Arabidopsis thaliana: one gene and its partner. The protein of the gene in region 2 interacts with the protein of the main gene of each other region in a pairwise test. Each region holds a gene or a part of one and is shown on either strand. Other genes may lie near its edges. The genes, in order: AT1G72180 and AT5G51150.

Region 1 (3,930 bases), on a different chromosome or scaffold from region 2:
ACCGTATCTCTTCCCATTTAAACCGACACAAGAAAATTTATTAGGTATCACGGTTAATACTTTATTATTCAGTAGAAAGTATTAGTATTTAAACAACTAAAGAGAAGTTTTTTTTTTTTCTTGCAATAGCTAAAATTCCATTTTGTATACTCTTAAAAAAACTATGTTAGTATTATTGATTTTGGCCAAATGTATGGGGGGATTTTTTTTTTATAGTATTCTCATCTACTTTTTGTTTTTGTTATTGACTGTCTCTGATTTCTTTCTCGTGTATTGTCTCACTTTTTAAATCATTATCTTAGATTTTTCTTAATAAAATAAAGAAGCAACATACTATATACTATTCTAACATGTAGGATGATAACCTTGTAAGGGCCATAACTTTATGGAATTTCATTTGTAAGTTTGAATAATTACCAATCGAGTGAAGTGAGCATGAAAACAAAGTGATTCAGTGAAAGGGGTACATTTATAACCACATAATCATCATATACTAACCATTTCACTATCTATTACCGTTTCTAAATATTTTACTGTATTATGGTCCTTTAATTTGTGTTTTAACTTTTAGTGGCTAAACGATGCCATAGGACCCAAGGCCATCACACATTGATATCAATCAGAAAGAGAATAAGCAATTATAAGTTTTCATAATAAATATGTGATATAAAACTTGGAGATAAATCAGAATGGGATTCGGAGCATAAGGGGATAACATTAGAGAGATGGATGTAGAAAGAAAAGGACATTGAGTAGGTTAGACGATTCTTATCAAACTTCACTTAAAAGGGTAATCGACCCAACAACATTTTAGTTCTCTCTTTCTTTTTTGGTTCTTTAATTTTAATTTATTTTCCAGACTGTAAACGAATATTAACACTACAGAAGAAACCAAAAATGTTTTTTTTTTCGGCCTAACTATTTGGGATCAATACGATTCGTTGCTTATTTTTTTCTAGTAACCTTCATAGGTTTCTCCAAGCTTTCATTATTTATTGTAATTGATCTCCACTTTAAAAGTAAAATCCAATAAATCAGCATTTCCTAATTATATACTAGTAATATTTTTTCACTTTTATTTTTATCATCTTATATATAGGAACTATATGAATGTAAATGTTTTCACGTAACGTTTTGGACATATACAACTAGTAGTTGCTACTAATTCCAATAGGAACAATTATCGCTATGACAAAAACAAATATCAAATAAGATTATTTTCCAGACAATGACGTATCATTATAATAATAAATTTTAAAATGTTTTATTACAATGAATCTCCACTTATTATCAATCCATCTAGAAACATTAACCGAAAGATGAATGTTTTTCTACATCCATGAAACTAATTTTTTAGGTCAATGTCTGTTGTTGATCCTCTTTTATATATTAGAAAACTATATAAGCACCGTTGGATTTTCTTAACCTGAGAGCGACGCTAACTATAAAGAAAGATCATCATAACATATTATATGTCAAAATCAGTATAGTCAGATGATTTTTATTAACTTTAAAAGTTTTTACAACTTTCACGAACATGAATTGTATGGTGAGAGAAGCTAGCTAGAGAAATAGTTGATTTTTTGATAAATGATTTAACCTTTTTGGCTCCAAGTCTCGACGACAACTTTCTCTTGTCTCTTCTCACTTCTCTTTCCTCTCTCCTCTCTTCTCAAATCTCTCTCTCTTTCGTATTTCTTGGAGACATCTTTCTCTGGAACTGTTCTTCATCGAATTCTATCTTTTGAGAGAAACTAAATTAAGTTGATAATCGAAGAACTTCCTCGAAATTAGGACTTCTTCTGCTTTTTGTTGTTTCCTAGAGATTTTCCTAGAACGTGGTCCAAGAAAATCACACAAAAAGGTTCATTCCTTTTTTCTTACCAGAAACCACAAATCAAAATCATCTCCCCTGTCTTTGTTTGAAATCTCTCAAATTTAAGAAGGATCATCCATTCACTAACCTGAGATTTTGGATAGGTTTCATCTATTTCAGGTACGATAATTCTTCATTATATTTTGTTTAATCCCGTTGCTTTTCTTGGTTTTAAGTTTTGAATCTTTAAGCCTCACATATTTGTTTTCTTTACTCAATCTAAGGTTGTTTTATTTCCAAAGATTTAAAGGATAGATTCTGTGAAAAAGTTTCTATAAATTTCAAATTTTCAAATGTGTAGGTTACTAGCTCTACTAATAACATAATTACTTTATCCACTAACTACAATCTGCATGACTCATTTTTAACTTGATTGTTTATTTAATTACCTTTTTAATCATTAATCCTTGATAGATACTCAATTCTCAATGTTGTGTTGTTCTTTTTTCATTAAAATTCAATGCTTTTAAAGTTTATATTCACAGATTTAGAAGGAGAGAGAGAGAGTAAAGATAGATCATTTGCTTTACTTTCAAACAAAATAATTAAGAAACTGAAAATTTAGGAGAAGGATAATAAACTTTCTGCACTGTAATGAGTACCTTTAAAGCTCACTTTTGGAGTTTGTGTACTTAAGCAAGCTTAATATGTCCATCTACCATACATGATGTATAAATGTATCACAACTAATTTATGATTTATACAAAACTGTTCACAAATCACATGCACCCATTCTTCTTACAAAATCTTTGCTATGATTGATTTTTTATATATATAGTAATATACGTGCATAGAATATAATAATAATAAACAGTAAACACAATTGGAAAACCATAATACTATGAAAATCCCATACATTAAAATATCAAATTTATTTTGAGTGGATTATTAATTGTATAGTGGTTAGTTTGTTGATTTCATATCTTTATTTTTCTATGTAGGTGGGAATTCCAGTGCATCGACCATGATCAACACCTAAACTACAAATTGACCGTTTTGCCCTTGGGAATCACTATAAATGTCGAGAAGACCAGACCTCCTACGTGGCAGCGTGGTCGCCACCGTGGCTGCCACGTTTCTCCTCTTCATTTTCCCGCCGAATGTTGAATCGACCGTTGAGAAACAAGCTCTGTTTCGCTTCAAAAACCGCCTCGACGACTCTCACAACATTCTACAATCTTGGAAGCCTTCCGATTCACCATGCGTGTTTCGCGGCATCACATGCGACCCGTTATCCGGCGAAGTCATCGGTATTTCTCTAGGAAACGTAAATCTCTCCGGCACCATTTCTCCATCAATCTCAGCTCTCACAAAGCTCTCTACGCTATCGCTTCCATCTAACTTCATCTCCGGAAGAATCCCGCCAGAGATAGTCAACTGCAAAAACCTTAAAGTTCTCAATCTCACCTCCAACAGACTCTCCGGAACAATCCCAAACCTTTCTCCTCTAAAGTCCCTAGAAATTCTCGACATCTCCGGGAATTTTCTTAACGGAGAGTTTCAAAGCTGGATTGGGAATATGAATCAGTTGGTTTCTCTCGGTCTTGGCAACAATCACTACGAAGAAGGTATAATTCCTGAGAGTATTGGAGGTTTAAAGAAACTTACTTGGCTGTTCTTAGCTCGCTCCAACTTGACCGGGAAGATTCCAAACTCGATCTTTGATCTGAATGCTCTCGACACTTTCGACATCGCGAACAACGCAATCTCCGATGATTTCCCAATCTTAATCTCAAGATTGGTAAATCTCACCAAGATTGAGTTGTTCAACAACAGCTTAACAGGTAAAATCCCTCCGGAGATAAAGAACTTGACTCGTTTACGCGAATTCGACATCTCTTCGAATCAGTTGAGCGGGGTTTTACCTGAAGAACTCGGAGTTTTGAAGGAGCTCAGAGTTTTCCACTGTCATGAAAACAACTTCACCGGCGAATTTCCTTCTGGTTTCGGCGATCTAAGTCACCTCACTTCTCTTTCGATTTATAGAAACAACTTCTCCGGTGAATTTCCGGTTAACATCGGCCGGTTCTCGCCGCTCGACACGGTTGATATAT
Region 2 (3,930 bases):
GTGGTTTGTAATTGTATTGTACCTCAGCATTTTTAATGTCGGGAAGAAGGTGGCGATTAACAAGTATCTCCCACAGAGAATCTCCTGCTCGGGGAAGAACATATAGAGCAAGCTCAGAGCGTCTCGGTTTCTTCTCCAGCATAACTGAGAGGGCTGCTGCACCACCCGCAAACCAATAAACGAGCTTGTGGTCTTTGGTTGCAACTTTTCTATGGGCACATATGAAAGCCTAATGCAAATGGGATGAAGGCACATACATTTGGGAATGGTTTTAGGAAACTATGTGAATTGTATGAAATGAGGGGACACAAATCAAATGTAAAAACCAGCTACCTGAAAAATCCCAACAAAAGCAGACAAGAAGGACGTCGATCTAACTGAATCTCTGATTGCAAGCCAAGATGTCCGGTAAGGAGAAGCCATGAACTGAAATGAAAGTGTAGGATGGCATCAGAAACTACATATCATGTCTGACTAATGCATAAACCATAGGAATCTAAAAGACTGAAACGGCAAATATTGAGGGACAGTCTTACTTTTTGTAGGTGTAGAACAACATATGGGACAAAAGTCAGGGAGAAATATAATGGAAATGTTTTCTTGAATGTAGCTGACATTGCATTAGCATTTTGGGCCAGACACGAGTTAGTGTTTGGATGAATAGCTGCACAGGGAATGATGGAAGCAAACTCTTCCACCTTCACGTCGCTTGCTTCGTTTTTACTAGAAATATAGGCTGACAAGGAGGCTACATCAATTGGACCACCTCTGCAGCACTCTCTTACAGCTTGGTAGACAGGCCTTGCAACTGGACCAGTCTTCTGAATAAATTCTCTATATGATTTTGGCAAGGTTTCAGGACGCATTATAAAGGAATACATAACCTGCACCGACCTCATTGCAACAAAATTAGCTTGCTGACCATAATCACTACCAAATCACATTGGAGAGAATACGTATGGTACACAAAAATGTCTTTCAACGTCTATACTATCTCCATTACTAACTAGAACAGGAAGAAAAGAGAAGAATCTCAAATACCTGAGCACATGCAAGAGAAAAAAGTAACGAATCTCCATGTCTCCAATGGCTACCCCAAAGATGGAACTTGTTCTTTGACTTAGCGGAATTATAAGCCGCCTATTAATAAGAGAAAAAATCAGACTCCGAAAAAAACATCTGTGTGGTGATATTACTCTGTACGACAGACAATACTATGACCATTAGATGTACCTGGCCTAATCTAGCCAAGAGGTATAGAGCAAGTGTGCGACGCTGGTTGGAATCATCTAAAGCCAAGATAGACAAACCCGCAACTGAACCTGCTAAGACTCTGCTCCACCCTTAATCAAAGTCATAATAAGGAATATACTTTTCAAGCACTATGCACAAAGTAAAAAGTAGAAGCATTATAAGAAAAGAGATACAACAATCGAAATCTTAGGCAACACAAATAAATAAAATAAACTTACGAATTCAATGGCGTCTCTTTCTTTCTCCACTTCCTCAAACAGCATCTAAGGGCATGATACGAGCCAGTAAAGCCACCAAAAAGTAGACCAATACGACATGCTTCCTCCCTAACTATCAAATCTTTCTCTGAAACAAGTTGCTGCAACCATTGTTCACGTGTGAGTGAATCGCATATACAATGATAAGTCAATAACACATTGGCCATAGTTTCAAAACAACCGTATCAAATGGAACACTAAAGCAGAGACTCGTAAGACTCTAAATCTCCAGAAATTGCCACAAAAACAAATTCCAATTCATCAATTCCTCACCTTAAGATCGAGAAGAGACGAATAAGACTGTCCCCTAGCGAGCTTAAAAGCGCGAAGAAGAATCCCGATCCCAACTCTAACACCATAAGAGAGAAGAAAGCTCTGACATAAATTCCCAATGGCATTGGCGACGCAAGAAACGTCAGCGTGATCACACAATTCCGCGTGAGATCCACGCGCCGCAGAGCGTTGTCTACGCTGAAGCTCCGCCATGGCATCGCGTAGCCTCTCCTCCGCTTCTCGAAGCCGGCGCTCAGCCTCCGAGCTGTCTTGAGATAAAGGAGAAATCGGTGGAGGCGAAGAAGAAGGATCTAAATCCGGCTTGGAGAACGAAGAAGGCATCGTCAATTAAAAGGAATTGAAATCGGAAAGCTTCTCAAGCTCGTTTGCTTAAAGGAAATGAAATGATGCAATCAGAGAAAAATGTTGGGAGCAGTGAGGAAGAAGCCGATGGGGATATGCTATGACACGTCATTTCTTTATGATTTTTGATTTGTTTCTTATTTTCTTTTTTGGAAAATAATCCAAAAGATTTATTTTTTACCATAAAGCAGAAAGTGTGCGGGTGCGGTTGCGGTTGCGGGAGTTTGCGGAAACAGGCGGTTGCGGTTTCAAGCGTTATCAAGCGTTTTGAACGACTGGTTGAGCGTTTGATAATAGGTGCGTTTACGGGAGTTTTATGACTGGTAAACCAGCGGGTGCGATAGTAATTAAATAAAAAATAACCAAAATAAATATAATATATTAATTTTAAAAGAAAAAAAATACAATATATTATTATGATAAATTGATAATATTAGAAAATTAAACATGCTTAATAATTAAAACCATAAACAAAACATTAAATTCAAAAATAAATAAATTTTGTAAGAAAAAGCTTAGTACTTTATGCATTTGGTACATCACCAAAAATTGCATCAAGTAGTGTAATAAACTGTAAATAATGTTGAACTCGTGGGTTTTCCGGATTGCCTCTATACATATGATAAAGTTTTAACAAGAAACGGGTCATCTCGTCTGACCAAATAATTTTCTAATCGAGAAAACAAATCAAAACATGTATTCAATAAAAAAACTCAAAAAAATATAAAATAAAAAAAATGACGATGCCATGAAATACTCTGAGAATTACACTAGCTAATGAATGGATGAAAGGATAGATCATACTTACGTTTGATTCTTGATTTTGATTTTGATTTTCGTTAGTTTGGGTAGATGCCATAATTGAGAAAATAGGGTTTCAATATATTGATTAGGGTTTTCTGATAAGAATAAGATATATACGGTTTGGGTGGAAGACATAATTATTTTAATTAATTAAAAAAAAAAATTAACCTAACTGCTACCGCCCGCAACCGCAAACGCTTGCGGGAAGGAGCTTTTGAAATCTGGCGATTTCAAGCGGTATCTAGCGGTTTCTATGATTGGTGTCAAACGCTAACAACCGCTACCATCCGCAAACGCAGCGTTTGCGGGTGGCAGAGGGAGAACCAATCAAAACAAAATGCGACTGGTTTCGTCGAAACCCAAATTGTTGGCTATGTGTGAAATTCTGGGACGCACATTTGTGATATTGTTGTGGCTTGTGATAGTAGCTAATCGGATACGTAGATAACATTTGGTCAGGGCATTTGGTACTAGTCGTTCGAAACGATAACATACTTGGTATGCACTATTTGGCTTTCAAGGATCCAACGCAAAAATGGTTGACATGAAGTCGACCCATGCATTTGTAAAAAGAAGCATCGAGCACGTTTGCTTCAACAAATTTGATGTTCTGACTCAGTTGTCATATTTTAAAAGCTATATAGTTGCGACAAGCCGACAAGGTACCTCGCATCACAGTTCACAACCAATGTAAACACACACTATACAAAACTCGGTTTCGTGTCTTCGTGACCTAGGAGATGGAGTTGTGTATACGGTTTCAACCAGGTATAAATTTATATAAGTACATTTTCACTCCTTCAATATCTAGTAAATGGAGATGGTTATACGGTTTCACCGTTTCAAAAACAATTTTGGTGAAGAAAATGTAATCTTCTACGGATATTTAAATGTTGATAAATTACTTATGCAAATTGTAACTAGTGTATGTTATGCAAATTATACACACATCTCCTTTTTTTTCGTTCTTCGTCCGTTA

What was found.
Region 1: the proteins of AT5G51150 (region 2) and AT1G72180 interact in a protein complementation assay, tested with the Arabidopsis thaliana proteins (one large-scale study listed by BioGRID).

Annotation. Positions count from the first base shown.
Region 1 is NC_003070.9:27,161,180-27,165,109, forward strand, and holds the start of AT1G72180 (Leucine-rich receptor-like protein kinase family protein), read left to right. Parts: upstream 1-1,640; 5' UTR 1,641-1,996; intron 1,997-2,817; 5' UTR 2,818-2,894; coding exon 2,895-3,930. UniProt on the Arabidopsis thaliana protein: Receptor kinase involved in the perception of C-terminally encoded plant signaling peptide (CEP) and subsequent regulation of root and shoot development.
Region 2 is NC_003076.8:20,787,230-20,791,159, reverse strand, and holds the start of AT5G51150 (Mitochondrial import inner membrane translocase subunit Tim17/Tim22/Tim23 family protein), read right to left. Parts: upstream 2,248-3,930; 5' UTR 2,127-2,247; coding exon 1,785-2,126; intron 1,613-1,784; coding exon 1,473-1,612; intron 1,334-1,472; coding exon 1,234-1,333; intron 1,141-1,233; coding exon 1,042-1,140; intron 885-1,041; coding exon 537-884; intron 427-536; coding exon 334-426; intron 230-333; coding exon 23-229; intron 1-22.